2 linked regions of the Xenopus tropicalis genome follow. The protein of the gene in region 1 interacts with the protein of each later gene in a biochemical or structural test. Links are inferred from orthologs where the notes say so. Each region holds a gene or a part of one and is shown on either strand. Other genes may lie near its edges. The genes, in order: rxfp3 and rln3.

The links.
Region 2: the proteins of rxfp3 (region 1) and rln3 form a complex in vitro, tested with the Homo sapiens proteins (2 studies listed by BioGRID, with this or other methods). The link is inferred for Xenopus tropicalis from reciprocal best matches to the Homo sapiens genes RXFP3 and RLN3.

Annotation. Positions count from the first base shown.
Region 1 is NC_030677.2:199,654,242-199,664,416, forward strand, and holds the start of rxfp3 (relaxin-3 receptor 1), read right to left. Parts: upstream 5,637-10,175; 5' UTR 5,096-5,636; coding exon 3,937-5,095; intron 1-3,936. UniProt on the Homo sapiens protein: Receptor for RNL3/relaxin-3. Binding of the ligand inhibit cAMP accumulation.
Region 2 is NC_030679.2:141,068,356-141,078,575, forward strand, and holds rln3 (relaxin-3 precursor), read right to left. Parts: upstream 5,968-10,220; coding exon 5,787-5,967; intron 3,197-5,786; coding exon 2,901-3,196; downstream 1-2,900. UniProt on the Homo sapiens protein: May play a role in neuropeptide signaling processes. Ligand for LGR7, RXFP3 and RXFP4.

The sequences.
Region 1 (10,175 bases):
CAGGAACTGTTTGGGTAAATCCGTTTTAATGAGAATCTTTATCAACCTCAATACTAGTCTTCACGCTGAGCAAAGTTTGAATATATTTATCGCCAATTACAAGGTGCACAAACAGAGGTCTGAGGCTTAGAGACACACTCTTCAGATCATTTTACATTCTTATAACCTGAGGTTAATACCGCAACAGACTACACAATTAGATTGTTGAAGAACCTTACAGATGTTTTGAGTTCCTATCAGGTAATTACATTGTAGAATAGACAAATAACTTCCAATTACTTATCTGACATAAAAATATCCAAACCACGAAAGACTGTATTGTCTCCAATGCATGCAAAGGGAAAGGAAATCATGTAGCCCTCTAGTTCCTTATGGACATGTTGCATACTATACCGTGAAGTCATTTTTTGCCTTAAAACCTTTGGTCGGAGGATATTATAGAGCGTGGGCAAGTGGAGCTATTAAGAACTTGATAGACTATGACTCCTGGAGTAAAGGTGGCCATACACGTTAAGACCTTGGTAGATCTTCTCCCATTATGCCCACCTAATGTAGGCTATCTCTAATTCAATTGTTTGGCCAAATGATCAAATTACAATAACAGGTATAGGAGCCGTCGTACCAAGGACTGAACCAATGAGCCAATGTGGTCCCCAATCTGATGGAAAAAACTGTCCAATTGACACCTGGAATATATTCAGCCATTGGTTGGGGAGACTATGACTCCTGGAGTAAAGGTGGCCATACACGTTAAGACCTTGGTAGATCTTCTCCCATTATGCCCACCTAATGTAGGCTATCTCTAATTCAATTGTTTGGCCAAACGATAAAATTACAATAACAGGTATAGGAGCCGTCGTACCAAGTGCTGCATCAGTGAGCCAATGTGGTCCCCAATCTGATGGAAGAATCAAACCTGTCCCATTGACACCTGGAATATATTCAGCCATCGGTTGGGGAGACTATGACTCCTGGGGTAAAGGAGACCATACACATTAAGACCTTGGTAGATCTTCTCCCATTATGCCCACCTAATGTAGGCTATCTCTAATTCAATAGTTTGGCCAAATGATCAAATTACAATAACAGGTATAGGAGATGTCATACCAAGGACTGAACCAATGAGCCAATGTGGTCCCCAATCTGATGGGGAAAAACTGTCCAATTGACACCTGGAATATATTCAGCCATCAGTTGGGGAGACTATGACTCCTGGAGTAAAGGTGGCCATACACATTAAGACCTTGGTGGATCTTCTCCCATTATGCCCACCTAATGTAGGCTATCTCTAATTCAATTGTTTGGCCAAATGATCAAATTACAATAACAGGTATAGGAGCCGTCAAACCAAGGACTGTATCAATGAGCCAATGTGGTCCCCAATCTGATGGGAGAATCAAACCTGTCCCATCGACACCTGGAATATATTCAGCTATCGGTTGGGGAGACTATTACTCCTGGGGTAAAGGTGGCCATACATGTTAAGACCTAGGTGGATCTTCTCCCATTATGCCCACCTAATGAAGGCTATCTCTAATTCAATTGTTTGGCCAAACGATAAAATTACAATAACAGGTATAGGAGCCGTCGTACCAAGGGCTGCATCAGTGAGCCAATGTGGTCCCCAATCTGATGGGAAAATCAAAACTGTCCAATCGACACCTGGAATATATTGAGCCATCAGTTGGGGAGATGGGAAGATAAGCTACCGAATCCATTGGAAGGACTCAAATCTGCCCGTGTATGGCCACCTTTAGAGAAGGCTGGGAGTTATGGTTTGAATCATCTTAAAGGCTACCATTTGCCCATCGCTGCTACTGAGTGAACATGCCTTATCAGAATATACAGCACAACACAAGAGCTGCAGGGAACTTATGTGCAAGAGGTTGCATTTAAGTGCCAAAATATGCATTTAACAATCCAAACATAGAAATCACTTTCTTAAAAAAAAAAGTAAAAGCCCCATAGAGTTTAAAAAAATGCATTTATACATATATATCATATAAAAAGAAGTGCTATAAAATTTCCGATGTGTAGGAGCAATATACCTGGCAATTATTGTTATGTACAGGGTAAAGAGATGCGCCACGTGGCTCCTTTATATGGCTGTGTGGGTCATAAAACCTCAGAATGAACAGCTGCCCCGCGCAATGGCTGTCTGAGTGTATTTACTCTTAGCCACATCAGGATCTAATAAAAAAATGCTTTCAACAAGTGACCCTGGGGCGGCAGAGTATAGTTAGAAAACTAAGTATCGGCATATGTTTATCTATATATACACCTGAGTGTACGGGTTATTATATTTAGAAAGCAAATTCAGTACAAGTATGGGATCCCTTATCCAGAAAACCCCTTATCCAGAAAGTTCCAAATTACAGAAAGGCCATCTCTCATAGATTCCATTATAAGCAAATAATTCTAATTTTTAAATATGATTTATTTTTTTCTCTGTAATAATAAAACAGTACCTGTACTTGATCCCAACTAAGATATAATTACCCCTTATTGGGGGCAGAACAGCCCTATTGGGTTTATTTCATGGTTAAATGATTCCCTTTTCTCTGTAATAATAAAACAGTACCTGTACTTGATCCCAACTAAGATATAATTACCCTTATTGGGACAGAACAGCCCTATTGGGTTTATTTCATGGTTAAATGATTCCCTTTTCTCTGTAATAATAAAACAGTACCTGTACTTGATCCCAACTAAGATATAATTACCCCTTATTGGGGCAGAACAGCCCTATTGGGTTTATTTAATGGTTAAATGATTCCCTTTTCTCTGTAATAATAAAACAGTACCTGTACTTGATCCCAACTAAGATATAATTACCCCTTATTGGGGGCAGAACAGCCCTATTGGGTTTATTTAATATTTAAATGATTTTTAGCAGACTTAAGTTATGGAGATCCAAATTACGGAAAGATCCCTTATCCGGAGAACCCCAGGTCCCGAGCATTCTGGATAACAGGTCCCATACCTGTAATAACATTACATGGAACCCAGCCCTAGTGTATCTGTGCCAAGATTACCTTGTGTATTACCAGGGCATTAGCCTCTAGTAGGAAAGCAGCACAATGACACAGACGTTAGATCTGATGCCTTGGAGTCTTGGGTTCGATTCTGACCAGGGCACTACCTGGGTGGGTTTTCTCTGAATGCTTAGATTCTCACCCAAAAGCTTGGTTGGAAGGTTATTTAACTCCTGCGTGTATTAGATTGTAAGCTCCATTGCTGCAGAAATCAATTTAAATGATTCTGTACAACATGCCAGCACTATATAAATTACAGATATTAATAATGAAGTATAGTGCCTGCCTGGGTGTAGCGCAATGGCATTGCTTTTTATTATCCTTCTAAATAAAATTGAGGAGTCAAAAAACCCTTTTGGCACAGCACCCTGTCTCCAGGGAGACACGGATGGAGCAGGTAGTGAGATAAAATACCTCCTTAATTGCAACAGCAACAAATGGAGCAACAATGTAACCAAGCAGCTGCATCACATGTATCAACAGATAAGCCTTGGTACATACAGTGCGCTGGGTTATCTACACACCTCTCCCTTGCCTAGGGCTTTGCAGTTATTCAGCAGAAGGTACTCTATGCCTTTAACACGTTGATATATACCATGTGGCAGCTCCCTTTGTATATTTATTATAGGACACTTATTGTACATCTCATCGTAGTGATATGTATTACATGACGCATTGAGCCATTTCCTCTGCGACTTTCTAAAACAAGCCAGCTGCAGTCCTGATATTCTGCTGTGTGTGGTTAAATTGAGGCAGATTGACCCAATGTCTCACAGGGACAAGTCTCAGTACCGTTGCTCGGTCGAGCTATTGGGGAGGAGGTCATATCTGCCATTGTATAGAACTGCCCCAGGGGGGTAACAAATGACATCGGGTTCAGCTGGATTGAGAGGGACCATACCATGGGCGTGATCATCCTGCTCGGGTTTAGTGGTCGCAGTGAACGGTCGCATGTTGGTCAGGGACGGCGATGCGATTTTCCAGAAGAGGTTTTTCAGCGCTTTCCTGAACTCCCTGCGCATCAAGCAGTAAAGGATTGGGTTGAGGCAACTGTTGGAGTGAGCCAGACACACAGTGATGGGGAATATGTAGGCTTGGGTAGTAAAGTACTCATAGCTGAACTGGACAATATTCAGTTTGATCAATATCCCCCAGGTGGTCAAGGCTTGGTTGGGGAGCCAGCAGAGGAAAAACGAGAGGACCACGATGGTCACCGACTTGGTGACTTTGGATCTCCGTTTGGTGCTGGAGCTGCTAATGTTCCGGTCCGTAATGAAACGAACCAGAAGCAAATAGCAGATAGTAATAACGAACAGAGGGATCAGAAAGCCCAACAGAACCTTCTGGGCATGGTACAACCCAAGCCAAAACTGGGCATTGCCGTTATTGACTGGGAACTTCACCAGGCAGAGGACCTCGCTGGAGACAGTCGCTGTGGTTGAGAAGATCGCGTTGGGCAAAGACGCAACGATAGCGGAGACCCAGATGAGAACGCTCACCCATTTGGCGGAGCAGCCGGCGGGTCTCCTTTTCACCTTCAGCGCAGAAGCCACAGAGTAGTACCTGGCCACACTCATTGCTGTCAGGAAGAACACACTGGCATACATGTTCATGGCGGTCACATACGACACGATTTTGCACATGGCTTTGCCAAAAAGCCAACTGAAGTCCAACGCATTCTCCACCGCCCAGAAAGGCAAAGTCAATACAAACTGAAAGTCCGTGATGGCCAAGCTGGTCACAAAGAGGTTTATTGATGACTTCTTCCATCCTTGCTTGGTTTTCATGAGGTATAAGACAAGCACATTGCCCACTAGTCCCAATGCACACACCACGGAGTATACAATCGAGATAATGATCCTCACTATAGCCGAGCTGTCCCCTATTATATCCGATTTGTCCAGGTTGAACCCTTTAATAAAGTCCTGTAGCGACTCGTTGCTCCTGTTCAACAGTCGCTCCTCCAGGAAGAGTGGAAACATCCCAAGCAGGTCGCTCTGCTCTGCTTCTTGCATACTGGCTGCTATGGAGCAATAACTGAGATTGCAACTGACATCCATCCCATGTTATAAAAAAAAAACTCAGCTCTTCATTGAGCTAATGGTCCCATGCCATAAACGCATTTTCTTTTACTGCCGACAAAATCGCACGGCAATGTAGAAGATTCTCAATGAGGCATCGATCTGTTGCTTCCACTGTCTTTGTATCCACTTAGGAAATAATACATTCATTAGCTACAGCCTTCAGCATTGTGGCATCAGCAGCTGTTACAATGAGAGGATAAGGTACATGAGGAGAGGTAGTGCTGTGGACTCCATATATCTGTATGGCAGCTGGATCTAAAGTCCTGTGAGTTGTTGCAGCTTCCAACTTCATTTATATTTTGTGCCCTGCGCCTTCCGTCAGGCTGAGTAGAATTCTATTCAGGAGGCGGGGCCTGTGCAGCGCTGAGATGGAGCTCTCCAAGGTTCTACTAACGGGAACTCTCCAAGGTGCTGATGTAACGCTCAGGGTTATCCACTCTGCCTCTCTGCTAATTGATACTAGGAGGGGCGGCACTGTAATCCCCCCCTACCTCCCTCTGATAGGAGCATCAGCTCATGACTGGACCTTGCAGGCTTCTCTAGTATTTCCATCATCATTAGAATTATTCAGGGATTCTAGTCCAACCAGAAAGGAGACTCTCATTAGTTCAGCCACCACTGGGGGTTAGTACTCTTACAGTTGACCATAATAAGAACAGCTGGGTATCAGAGCAATCCATCTATCTGCCAATTCTCTATATTTTTTTTTTTTAAGTTTTAACTTTTTTATTGAGAATAACAAGTTACATAACATATTTATGCTGGTATAGTTACATCAATAAATTGTATAGTTGTTTATCATGTTTAATTCTTACAAGCCATTCTTTAGGGGAGGGAAAAATGGGGGGGGGGGGGGAGGGTGTACAAGTCAGGGTCTTATTTTCCAATTCTATATTTTAATATAAATTCCATTCCAGCTGTAGAAACGTTTTAGAATAATCCAGAGATGACATTTAGAAACCCAGTTAATTTGTTTCTTTACCTTATTACCCCCCTAACTATATAATGGCATTCTGTGCTGTATGGTGGTGCTTGAAAATAGTATATTCATTTTTAAGGCTTTTTTCCCCCTGTTATTTTAACGTAATGTAATAGATTTGTCTCCACTTCTTTAAACATTTTTAATAAGAAAGTCCACTAGGGGGCAGTAATGCTTTAGGCCAGTGGAACATTCAGACGGTGAGATTTCGCTTTACTCTTTCAGAGCCAAATAAATACAAATGTATTTATATGATATTCATAGAGATCTTCTCTCTTTATTATTTATAGTCACATTTAAGAGCATAAGGATAGAAGAAATACGTTTAAACCATTATATACGAACCCCATGTACAGATATTTTCCCCAACATATCTCATTTAGCTCTGGCAAACAACTCCCCCCCCCCCCCCCACCTTGCCTCCACACAGGGAAGAAGCACACCAATTGCCCTTAACACACATTGCACCTGAAGAAGGGGGTATTTATGTGCTTCTTCCCTGTATGGAGGTCTATGGATTTGGCTTGGAAGTGAATGCACCCTATGGAATTATGTAAGGGGTGAGCTGAAGAATCAATTATGGTTGAACTGTGTCTTCCCCCCACCTTGCATCACGGAACAAATGGCTTATAAGCTCTACGTGTAAAATTCTCCTACTTACCAAAAAAAGTTCTTATTTGCAGATATGGCCACTTGGAGCAATAATGTGATATAGGAACAGTATATACATTGATTATTATCCATTAAACAAGGGGTTTGAGCTTGGTAGCCATGTAGTTAATATCAATTAAACACATTTTAGAGATAAAAAATGCAATCCACTTTTCTTATGATACAGTAAACATTATAGTAAAATATATGTTCCTACTACATACTTACAGAATATCATTGTAGAGAATGTATGTGACTTCCTAAACTGTGTTACAATTAGAGTTTTTGTGTGGGATAATAGTGGGAATAGCAGGTATAGTAGGGAGAGATGGTGCCTATAGTAGCAGTGGGGGATAATAGCCTCTGGGAAGGGACTGGGGCTGTGGGATAGTAGGTATAGTAGGGAGAGATGGTGCCTATAGTAGCAGTGGGGGGATAATAGCCTCTGGGAAGGGACTGGGGCTGTGGGATAGCAGGTATAGTAGGGAGAGATGGAGCCTATAGTAGCAGTGGGGGGATAATAGCCTCTGGGAAGGGACTGGGGCTGTGGGATAGCAGGTATAGTAGGGAGAGATGGAGCCTATAGTAGCAGTGGGGGGATAATAGCCTCTGGGAAGGGACTGGGGCTGTGGGATAGCAGGTATAGTAGGGAGAGATGGTGCCTATAGTAGCAGTGGGGGGATAATAGCCTCTGGGAAGGGACTGGGGCTGTGGGATAGCAGGTATAGTAGGGAGAGATGGTGCCTATAGTAGCAGTGGGATAATAGCCTCTGGGAAGGGACTGTGGCTGTGGGATAGCAGGTATAGTAGGGAGAGATGGTGCCTATAGTAGCAGTGGGGGGATAATAGCCTTTGGGAAGGGACTGTGGCTGTGGGATAGCAGGTATAGTAGGGAGAGATGGTGCCTATAGTAGCAGTGGGGGGATAATAGCCTCTGGGAAGGGACTGGGGCTGTGGGATAGCAGGTATAGTAGGGAGAGATGGTGCCTATAGTAGCAGTGGGGGGATAATAGCCTCTGGGAAGGGACTGTGGCTGTGGGATAGCAGGTATAGTAGGGAGAGATGGTGCCTATAGTAGCAGTGGGGGGATAATAGCCTCTGGGAAGGGACTGGGGCTGTGGGATAGCAGGTATAGTAGGGAGAGATGGTGCCTATAGTAGCAGTGGGGGGATAATAGCCTCTGGGAAGGGGACTGTGGCTGTGGGATAGCAGGTATAGTAGGGAGAGATGGTGCCTATAGTAGCAGTGGGGGGATAATAGCCTCTGGGAAGGGACTGGGGCTGTGGGATAGCAGGTATAGTAGGGAGAGATGGTGCCTATAGTAGCAGTGGGGGGATAATAGCCTCTGGGAAGGGGCTGTGGCTGTGGGATTGTAGGTATAGTAGGGAGAGATGGTGCCTATAGTAGCAGTGGGATAATAGCCTCTGGGAAGGGACTGGGGCTGTGGGATAGCAGGTATAGTAGGGAGAGATGGTGCCTATAGTAGCAGTGGGATAATAGCCTCTGGGAAGGGACTGGGGCTGTGGGATAGCAGGTATAGTAGGGAGAGATGGTGCCTATAGTAGCAGTGGGATAATAGCCTCTGGGAAGGGACTGGGGCTGTGGGGTAGCAGGTATAGTAGGGAGAGATGGTGCCTATAGTAGCAGTGGGGGGAAAATAGCCTCTGGGAAGGGACTGGGGCTGTGGGATAGCAGGTATAGTAGGGAGAGATGGTGCCTATAGTAGCAGTGGGATAATAGCCTCTGGGAAGGGACTGGGGCTGTGGGATAGCAGGTATAGTAGGGAGAGATGGTGCCTATAGTAGCAGTGGGGGGATAATAGCCTCTGGGAAGGGACTGGGGCTGTGGGATAGCAGGTATAGTAGGGAGAGATGGTGCCTATAGTAGCAGTGGGGGGAAAATAGCCTCTGGGAAGGGACTGGGGCTGTGGGATAGCAGGTATAGTAGGGAGAGATGGTGCCTATAGTAGCAGTGGGATAATAGCCTCTGGGAAGGGACTGGGGCTGTGGGATAGCAGGTATAGTAGGGAGAGATGGTGCCTATAGTAGCAGTGGGATAATAGCCTCTGGGAAGGGACTGGGGCTGTGGGATAGCAGGTATAGTAGGGAGAGATGGTGCCTATAGTAGCAGTGGGGGGATAATAGCCTCTGGGAAGGGACTGGGGCTGTGGGATAGCAGGTATAGTAGGGAGAGATGGTGCCTATAGTAGCAGTGGGGGGATAATAGCCTCTGGGAAGGGACTGGGGCTGTGGGATAGCAGGTATAGTAGGGAGAGATGGTGCCTATAGTAGCAGTGGGGGGAAAATAGCCTCTGGGAAGGGACTGTGTGAACATTTGAGTTTTCGGACTATAATTCGAATATTGGGAGTTTTAGCCCAAAAAAATTCAAATGTTGATAAATCACCCCCATACTGTATACTCACATGTAACCTCAGCCTAATGCCTGTGCAAGTGCCCCTGTACAGGTCTGTGAATTCCCATCTGATTTACACTATAGAGGCTCAGTCTGACTGGCCAACCTGTATTTACTTGTAGTACCCAGGGGGCATTGCTGCATGGTGCTCACTGTAGACTTAGGGTTAAAGATAACATTTTCAGTTGCAGGTACAGGTATAGGATCCATTGTCTGGAAAACCCATTATCCAGAAAGCTCCAAATTTTGGCAAGACCATCTCCCATAGGCTCCCCAGGTCCTGAGCATTCTGCATAAAAAGGCTCATACCTGTAGTTTAATGGAACACGGGGCCCCATGCATTAGATTTGGGATTTCCTGTCATTATTGTGCTTCAATTTAACAGGTCGAATCAGGGTTAATATCCTGTTCAGTATTTCATTAAATCTTCTGGTTTGCGTATTTGGCCAATTCTCAAATAATAGATTTATAACACCTCTGCGTATATAATATTGTATAAAATGGTAACAAAGCTAGAAAATAATTGTAATTTAGACAACTTACATAGGCGTAACCCTTTAAGGTATGTAATCAGTGATGCAATCAGTGATTACATAAACACCCATGTTCCTATGGGATTTTTAGAAGTGTATTTATCAATGATAAATTTTTAAAAACCCCATAAGAATAAACAGAACGTGGGTGAATTTATTAAGTTCTAAACTTTTGATAAACCTTTCCTTGATCTGTAGAGATCCTGTACCCAAAGGACAGACCATTATTCAGGTGGAACATGGGGCATTGCAGGTAAATGCACACTAGAGGGCGCCCTTGACTTCATTACACTACTGTTTCCATTGTCATTTATTCTTTGAATCCGGCTCTTAGTGAAAAGCTGAACTCAGTGCACAGCTGGATTTTACAGGGGTGACCCCCGGGGTAGGGGGGGGCGCACCAATCATCTTTGTTCTATGCGCCATTTATTGAGGCATCTTATATTTTTATCTTTGCCATAAATAAAACACACATGGGGG
Region 2 (10,220 bases), on another chromosome or scaffold:
TGTTCCTGCCCATGCTGCTGTTCCTGCCCATGTTGCTGTTCCTGCCCATGTTGCTGTTCCTGCCCATGCTGCTGTTCCTGCCCATGCTGCTGTTCCTGCCCATGTTGCTGTTCCTGCCCATGCTGCTGTTCCTGCCCATGTTGCTGTTCCTGCCCATGTTGCTGTTCCTGCCCATGTTGCTGTTCTGCCATGTTCCTGCCATGTTGCTGCCCATGTTGCTGTTCCTGCCCATGCTGCTGTTCCTGCCCATGCTGCTGTTCCTGCCATGTTGCTGTTCCTGCCCATGTTGCTGTTCCTGCCCATGCTGCTGTTCCTGCCCATGTTGCTGTTCCTGCCCATGGTTGCTTTCCTGCCCATGCTGCTGTTCCTGCCCATGTTGCTGTTCCTGCCCATGTTTGCTGTTCTGCCCATGTTGCTGTTCCTGCCCATGCTGCTGTTCCTGCCCATGCTGCTGTTCCTGCCATGTTGCTGTTCCTGCCCATGCTGCTGTTCCTGCCCATGTTGCTGTTCCTGCCATGTTGCTGTTCCTGCCCATGCTGCTGTTCCTGCCCATGTTGCTGTTCCTGCCCATGTTGCTGTTCCTGCCCATGCTGTTCCTGCCCATTGCTGTTCCTACCCATGCTGCTGTTCCTGCCCATGCTGCTGTTCCTGCCCATGCTGCTGTTCCTGCCCATGCTGCTGTTCCTGCCCATGCTGCTGTTCCTGCCCATGCTGCTGTTCCTGCCCATGCTGCTGTTCCTGCCTATGTTGCTGTTCCTGCCCATGTTGCTGTTCCTACCTGCTGCACCGCGAGTTCTTCCCAGTGCTTCCTGCTCTGCCTTCTACCGGCACTGCTTCATGAAGTAAAGGGGGGAGGGCTCTGTCCTGAGCAATGGTTGAACCACCAATGCATTTTCTGCTGCTGACTGGGCAATAAGTCAGTCCCCTGCATTACAGCAGTCTTCTCCAGCAGAATCCTGCATTGTAGTGTTTTTTTATAGAGCAAACAGATTTTCTTTTGTATTTCATTTTAAAAATTGATGTGGGGCTAAACATATTCTTAGTTTTATAGGTTCCACCATTCACGTGACTGATGATCTTCATACAGACACACTTTACTGCTGCACTGCAAGTTGGAGTGATATCCCCCCCCCCCCCCCAGCAGCCGATCAGCAGAACAATGGGAAGGGAGCAAGATAGCAGCTCCCAGTAGGTATCAGAATAGCACTCAATAGTAAGAAATCCAAGTCCGGCTACACCTTAGTGAGTTATAATCTGTGAGTAAATAGGAGGGAGATTCTAAGACAATCTGGTTGCTAGGATCCAAATTTCCTTAGCATCCAGGGAGTGGTTTGAATGAGAGACTGGTATAAGAATAGAGGGACTGAATAGAAAAATAACTAAAATGAAATAACAATAATAATAAAACTGTTGCCTCTCAGACCAATAGGTTTTGGCTGCCGGGGTCAGTGACCCCCCCATATAAAAGCTGGAAAGAGTCAGAAGAAGAAGGCAAATAATTTAAAAACAAATAATGAAGACCGGTTGAAAAGCTGCTTAAAATTGGCCATTCTATAACATACTAAAAATTAACTTAAAGGTGTACTGCCCCTTTAACCAGTCCCCTCTGCTGGATCCGATACCAAGCACCTAGACAACTGCCATTTAACCCGTGTTTTACCATTGTTCCATTTTGTAGACAATGGAGGCTTAGCAGCAGCGTTGCCAATAGGAGAGTACAGGGAGTACTGCAGTCAGGGGCCCCTTGGGGCCGAAACAATGTAATAGTGTGAATTACAGGCATGGACAGGGTTTGTGGAGAATGGGAGGAGCTTGGCTGGATTATGGGTGGGGTTTGGCATAATGGTGTGTGCCTGGTGTTGATCAGGGGGCGTGGTCATAAGTACATGCGCCATTTTGTTTCTAGCCCCATTCTACTTGCTTTCAGGGCCCTCCTCCTGGGGCAAAGGTAACCAATGAGTTAATAACTGGGGGCCCCTGAGGGGGTGGAACCTGGTAATTTAGTAATATGGGGCCCTATGATACCTGATGCATTACTGCACCCTGGGCAGGTCACTTTGGGCAAATGAGAATCCTCCTTTGTTAATACTGACAAGTTCCCACGGGCGAATCCTTTAGTGCCCATTAGCCATTCTGCCCAGAAGAACAGTGGGCACAGGCCAACCCTGTCCTTATTGTCCCCCCTCCCGTCCCTCACAAAGTGCTTCATTCCTCCTGCTCTCACTGCATCTTCCCTGTGCCTCCAAATTTTCTGGGTCTCCTTCTCCATTTCTTTCAGAGCCGCCATCTTTTCACAGCGCCCATATCCCCTATTGCCCCTCTGCTTTCCCTTTCTGCCCCTATGGAATTCATTCCTTATGTTTCTCCACCAGGAACTCTCCCTCAGCCTCTCGAAGCACTTGAACAGCCTTAGCAGCACTTCTCTCTGTGCCTGGAAGTTACCCACACACTTAGATTGTAAGCTCTATGGGCCCAGGACTTCCTTGCTCCTGTGTCCCTTACACTATATTTGCAACGGGGCCCCCTGCTGGCTGTGCCCGCCACCCGGGAGTAGCACCCCCACTCTGGGAGCCTAAAGTGCTCCCCTAGATTCCCAGCCCAATAAACCCATGTACAATGGTTCCTTCCATATTAAATCAATACATGTAGAAAAGAAAGAAACAAGCAGAATACGGGGTTGAAAATGTATTATATATATACATACTGATAACACTCACGTGCCCCAGATACCCTGGGCTGTGCCCCTGCGCATAACCAATACTCACTCACACTCACTCATTCACTCACACTCACACACTAACAATAGGGATTTCTGTTCTACACACGTACATGACCCAGTTACAGACCAATGACCCAATCTCCCCCCACACTGCCCCCCACCCCAGTGACTCGGCTCCCATTCAACACAAGGAGCTAATCTGGCTCTTGCTACACCCCCATTTGCAACAAGTATTTGATAATCCCAACGCGGCTTCCCTCCCTCTCCTCTCCACCCCCCTCAGGGCGTCCTCTGCTGCTGCCATGCCGTGCCTGCCCCCCGCGGTATCTCGCCAACTCTGCACGCTGCCATAGTCAATGTCGTTGTTGTGGGGACGCAGGCTGCTCGCCCATTCACTCAGCACGTCCTCCTCATCGGAATTCACATCGGGAGAGACCAAGTTTCCAAAGACTTCAGCAGGCTCCCCTACAAGAGAAGCTGGGGGTGCAAAGAGATGCCCCCAGTATTGTTTATTTTTATTTAGTGTACAGACAGACTAGAGGCAAAAGCATCCTGATATTAATGTTAATAACCCTCAGTGACTGCTAATATCCTTATCATTTACAGTAGGGGGTACATTATCCCTTATAATACATGAGTGATACTCAGAGTTCCCTGTATAACTCAGCCTGCAGCCTTGTGCCTTTATATGGGCACAGAACCCCTCAGTGACTGCTAATATCCTTATCATTTACAGTAGGGGGTACATTATCCCTTATAATACATGAGTGATACTCAGAGTTCCCTGTATAACTCAGCCTGCAGCCTTGTGCCTTTATATGGGCACAGAACCCCTCAGTGACTGCTAATATCCTTATCATTTACAGTAGGGGGTACATTATCCCTTATAATACATGAGTGATACTCAGAGTTCCCTGTATAACTCAGCCTGCAGCCTTGTGCCTTTATATGGGCACAGAACCCCTCAGTGACTGCTAATATCCTTATCATTTACAGTAGGGGGTACATTATGCCTTATAATACATGAGTGATACTCAGAGTTCCCTGTATAACTCAGCCTGCAGCCTTGTGCCTTTATATGGGCACAGAACCCCTCAGTGACTGCTAATATCCTTATCATTTACAGTAGGGGGTACATTATCCCTTATAATACATGAGTGATACTCAGAGTTCCCTGTATAACTCAGCCTGCAGCCTTGTGCCTTTATATGGGCACAGAACCCCTCAGTGACTGCTAATATCCTTATCATTTACAGTAGGGGGTACATTATCCCTTATAATACATGAGTGATACTCAGAGTTCCCTGTATAACTCAGCCTGCAGCCTTGTGCCTTTATATGGGCACAGAACCCCTCAGTGACTGCTAATATCCTTATCATTTACAGTAGGGGGTACATTATCCCTTATAATACATGAGTGATACTCAGAGTTCCCTGTATAACTCAGCCTGCAGCCTTGTGCCTTTATATGGGCACAGAACCCCTCAGTGCCTGCTAATATCCTTATCATTTACAGTAGGGGGTACATTATCCCTTATAATACATGAGTGATACTCAGAGTTCCCTGTATAACTCAGCCTGCAGCCTTGTGCCTTTATATGGGCACAGAACCCCTCAGTGACTGCTAATATCCTTATCATTTACAGTAGGGGGTACATTATCCCTTATAATACATGAGTGATACTCAGAGTTCCCTGTATAACTCAGCCTGCAGCCTTGTGCCTTTATATGGGCACAGAACCCCTCAGTGACTGCTAATATCCTTATCATTTACAGTAGGGGGTACATTATGCCTTATAATACATGAGTGATACTCAGAGTTCCCTGTATAACTCAGCCTGCAGCCTTGTGCCTTTATATGGGCACAGAACCCCTCAGTGACTGCTAATATCCTTATCATTTACAGTAGGGGGTACATTATCCCTTATAATACATGAGTGATACTCAGAGTTCCCTGTATAACTCAGCCTGCAGCCTTGTGCCTTTATATGGGCACAGAACCCCTCAGTGACTTCTAATATCCAGATTGATGCACCGGACAAAGCGCTGAGTGTGGGCGCACAATCACAAACAAACAGCTGCACACAAGTGTTATCTACCTAACCCACCCTGAGCCCCCGATACAGATCTCCTCATTAAATAGCTGCACACAAAGGCTCTGATTGTTACTATTACCATATCACTAACAGGAGCCCGTGTTATATCTCAGTGGGAGTAGGGGGTAGATAAGGCAGCCTCCCCTGGCTGAGCATGCTGGGAGCTCCAGGTGGAACGTACCAAATGCATGTCTGGGGGGGAGTCTAAGCAGGCTTAGCAAGGGGCTCATTGCTCTGCATACAGCACTGCCTACAGTTGGGGGCACTAAACCGTGGGCAACGCTGCTCTTAGGGGGCAATGTTGCTGGGGCAGCGGGTACTGACCCTTGTACAGCAGCCCACCCTATCTACAGGGCGTCAGGGGTGCCAGTCCAAAAGTTGGTTGCCCTCTTAACTCTCAAGCTGCCAGAACACTTTCATTGCAATATTTATCCTGCACATAGGAAGCTGGAGCGCTTTTAACCCTTTAAATGCTGGTGCCTATCAATCTTGCCAATCTAAACAAAACCCTGAGTTGGTAGAATCTAAGGCGTTGGTCGTACCTTTGCCAGGGTAAAGGGCAAGTAGCACAATATCTAATGGCAAAAAAAAAGAAATGTGAAAAAAATGAAAACTGCGACATCTCTTTGGGCTGCACCTCACCAGTCACAGCCCCCAAAATGGGTGGTTTGACCCCCTACAAAACAATGAAACTCACATTATGATTGGACGGTAGTGGATGTTTAAAGGGGAACCTAATGAAAGAAAATATCATTCTGAGCAACTTCCCAATTTCCCATTTTCACTTCTCTGCACTGCTGATTGTGACTCCTGAAATAACATACCTGGAGGAGAATTGACTTCTGCTACATTGTTTCGAAGAAAGGGATGAACCCTGTAGGAAGCAGGTCTGCCCTGGGCTCTATCTGATTTTGGGTACAGTTTTGCCCACGCCCAATAACCCCCTTAGGAAGTTGTGTAAGACCCCCTACCTGCTTGCAGAGCCTCGTTTCTTCTCCACCGGGAACCCCCACATGTGAAGATAACGGCTCGTATGAACTCTCGGCCGCAGAGCTTCACCCCAAACGTGGGGACTCTGCTGGTGGCCTGGGTGCCGCTGTGCCAGGCTAGGAGCCACAGGACCACGAGAAGGGCGGGAGCCACGCGCTGCATGATGCCAGGCTCTTACTGGGCAGGCAGTGAGCGAGGAAAGTGAATCCCAGTGGCTGCTGACCGTCCACTTATAAGCTGACCGTGGGGGCCTGAGCGGGGAGATAAGGACCCTACTCGGTGCCCCCCCTCCCCGGAGCAGCCTCTGAGAGGAGAGATAACCTTTCTGCAGCATAATAAGGCAGCAATTATTCCAGGCTCGTCACTGGGTGCCATCACCCTGACACCCTCAGAGCATCACTTCCCAGTAAACTACCCCCACAAGTACAAAATCTGTGCGTATGGCGAGTGACTCAAGGGGGGACTTTATAGCGACCCCCATGGCGGGTAGAAAAAGTAATGTATGTGCTAATGCTTCTCCCATGTCCCTGCGCAAAAGTAACTGCTTAGTAAGGCAAGCAGGTATTCTACCATTGCTCCTGGCAGTTTGGCCACTAGGGGCGCATTATTATTAGAATCAGGTGGAGGTGACCATAACTGCCCCTAGTGATTTGGGGGGAGGGGGAGATCAATGTAGCATTGGGGTCTTAAGTTTGATTCCAGCCAGGGCTCTATCTGCAAGGAGTCTGTATGAGTGGGCTCAGCCAATAGCTTTGCATTTGTTATATGTATAACTTTATTTATAAAGTGCCACAAGGGTACGCAGCGCTGTACAATCTTACAATATACACAATTACACACAGGGAGGACAAGTGTTAGAATAAATACAATAAATATATATATATAATAATATAAATGCACAGGGAGTAAGTGCCATGTGATATGAGACACAGTAGGAAGGAGCTTCCTGCCCCGTAGAGCTTACAATCTAAGTACTATGATGCACACAGGGTTGGACTGGGGGGGTGCAGGGCCCACTGGGGCTGCCGAACCAGGGGCCCCGCACTCCCCAAGATGTCCCCGCCGTGTCCCTGCACCCTTAGGGCAAAGCCCTATATGAAGTTTATTACTCTGGTAAGTCCTGGTGTCTCTACCACTGCCGAGGGTTCCCAGGTAGGTGACTCCTGTGTATGCTTGAGTATGACCCTGCCCTAGATAGGTGGGCCAACACAGTTGCCCCCCCCCCCCATGCTACAATGGCCCTCCTATGTAAGTATAAGTGGTTGGAATGGCCCCCAACTCCAACGCCAAGGCAAACCCTCATCCATTTGTATCAGTCTGACTCCAGAGCTAAATTAGCTTCACATGTTGAACACACTGATCAATGCTTGCTGCGTGCTGATGGCGTGAGTGGAACCGGGCCTTGGCACTGAATGGCATATAAAGGGTATATAGGCTAATGGTGGGAATAAGTAAGGGTTAATGGGACTTCTCTCAGGCCTGGGCCCACCAGGAAGGTGCCCGGTACCCTGGCAGGGCAGTCGGACCCCGGCTCTGTAGGAATGATTTTATTCTCATTAGGGAGCAGGTACTTTAGCAAAGGAGGTTGAGTTCTGGGTATTATTGTCAGCGGCGTAACGAAGTGCTGCCAGGCCCCCACGCAAACAATCCCCGCTCCATGCCCGCGTGTGTTGGGCCGGCTCAGGAAAGCAGTGGGCACGTATATTTTCTTTGTAGAAAAGTGGCGTAGAGGAAGCTGACCCTGCGCCCTCCCCCCCTGTACCCAGGGCCCCCCCCCCCCCCGCCGCGTCTGCTTCCTCTACGCCACTGATTGTTGTGCTAATATTAGCACTGTGTATAAGGGCTGTGGCACGAGGGGTATATTCTCTGCCTTCAGAGAACCACATGACCCCCACGCTTCTGTCTCCCATTCGCTTGAGTGGGCAAGGTGCGACACCCCCTGTGCTTAGCGGAGAATGTGGCCCCTGTGCTTAGCTGAGAATGTGGCCCCTGTGCTTAGCTGAGAATGTGGCCCCTGTGCTTAGCAGAGAATGTGGCCCCTGTGCTTAGCAGAGAATGTGGCCCCTGTGCTTAGCTGAGAATGTGGCCCCTGTGCTTAGCTGAGAATGTGGCCCCTGTGCTTAGCTGAGAATGTGGCCCCTGTGCTTAGCTGAGAATGTGGCCCCTGTGCTTAGCGGAGAATGTGGCCCCTGTGCTTAGCAGAGAATGTGGCCCCTGTGCTTAGCTGAGAATGTGGCCCCTGTGCTTAGCGGAGACTGTGGCCCCTGTGCTTAGCAGAGAATGTGGCCCCTGTGCTTAGCTGAGAATGTGGCCCCTGTGCTTAGCAGAGAATGTGGCCCCTGTGCTTAGCTGAGAATGTGGCCCCTGTGCTTAGCTGAGAATGTGGCCCCTGTGCTTAGCAGAGAATGTGGCCCCTGTGCTTAGCAGAGAATGTGGCCCCTGTGCTTAGCAAAGAATGTGGCCCCTGTGCTTAGCAGAGAATGTGGCCCCTGTGCTTAGCAGAGAATGTGGCCCCTGTGCTTAGCAGAGAATGTGGCCCCTGTGCTTAGCAGAGAATGTGGCCCCTGTGCTTAGCTGAGAATGTGGCCCCTGTGCTTAGCTGAGAATGTGGCCCCTGTGCTTAGCGGAGAATGTGGCCCCTGTGCTTAGCGGAGAATGTGGCCCCTGTGCTTAGCGGAGACTGTGGCCCCTGTGCTTAGCGGAGACTGTGGCCCCTGTGCTTAGCGGAGAATGTGGCCCCTGTGCTTAGCGGAGACTGTGGCCCCTGTGCTTAGCAGAGAATGTGGCCCCTGTGCTTAGCAGAGAATGTGGCCCCTGTGCTTAGCGGAGACTGTGGCCCCTGTGCTTAGCAGAGACTGTGGCCCCTGTGCTTAGCGGAGAATGTGGCCCCTGTGCTTAGCAGAGAATGTGGCCCCTGTGCTTAGCGGAGACTGTGGCCCCTGTGCTTAGCAGAGACTGTGGCCCCTGTGCTTAACGGAGAATGTGGCCCCTGTGCTTAGCGGAGAATGAGGCCCCTGTGCTTAGCTGAGAATGTGGCCCCTGTGCTTAGCAGAGAATGTGGCCCCTGTGCTTAGCAGAGAATGTGGCCCCTGTGCTAAGTTACCCTGTTGCAATATATATGGAAAGATCCAAAAAATAAAGAAAACCGAGTACTCGGTGAATTAGGTAGAACTCTTTGTGGTGGTGGAGGGTCTGGGTGCTCAACAAGTTGAAGTAAAACCAGTATAGTTCATTTAAACGTACACATAATGCCATAATGCCTTACGCGTTTCGTACCGTAACTTTAATTATATGTACGTTGCGATTGGTCAACCTCCTTGCAATACAATTGCCTATTTTTGCTTTAAATAATATGTGTTTGTGGATTGTTATTCAGCCTATGACTGTTTTAGGTACGAAACGCGTCAGGCTTTATAGCATTATGTGTAAGTTTAAATACACTATACTGGTTTTCAGCTACTCAAGACGTTTTGTTTATCCGGAGTTCCTGCCGGTTTTTCTCGGTTACCCTTTATGCCCGTTGCGCTGCTACGGCGATTACAGATCGCAGCTGATCTTTCGGAATGGATACGCATTTACGTACGGGCGCAATTCGGAGCAGCGCTCATTATCATTACGGAATTGTTATACAAATCTATTTGCACGGCCTGAACTTTGCTAATCTCTATTCCATTAGCTTTCCTCGCCGGGACACGGCGTCCTTTGTCTGGTATAATGTCAGCGGGCGAGTGATAGGATCGAACAGCCACTGATAGCGCCGCCATCCCTGCTCCTCGCTGCCCTAACATTTTCATGACAAAAGGCTCCATCTGTCACCGCTGGGATCCTATCTTTGACGCGGTGGCTAATAGCCGCACAGGGACATTTAACCAGCGGACGCCCCTGAGGCCCAAAAAAAAAAAAACAATGGCTCCTGAATGTGCTAATTACAATACTAATGAGAGTCGACGTCACAATGGGGACACAATACAATAGGTGACGGTGTCGGGACACAATGGCAAGTCATAAAATGGATGCTAAGATGATGGCGTGGGCAGTAAAACCTGTAATATATATTATAGCATGGCATTGTGCCCCCATAAACATGGAGCCTCCTCTTTCTCCTTATTATATGCTGCCTGCAGAGCTAAACGTAAAAGGGTTGTAAGCAAATATACATTCAATATATACCGTATTTTTCGCCCTATAAGACGCTCCGGAATATAAGACGCACCCAATTTTAAAGGAGGAAAATCTAGAGAAAAAAGATTCTGAACCAAATACTGTAGTAAAATATTTTATATCAACCCAGGGCCCCCCCAAGTATCATTCAGCTTCCCCCAGGCCCCCCCAAGTATCCTTCAGCTTCCCCCAGGGCCCCCCCAAGTATCCTTCAGCTTCCCCCAGGGCCCCCCCAAGTATCATTCAGCTTCCCC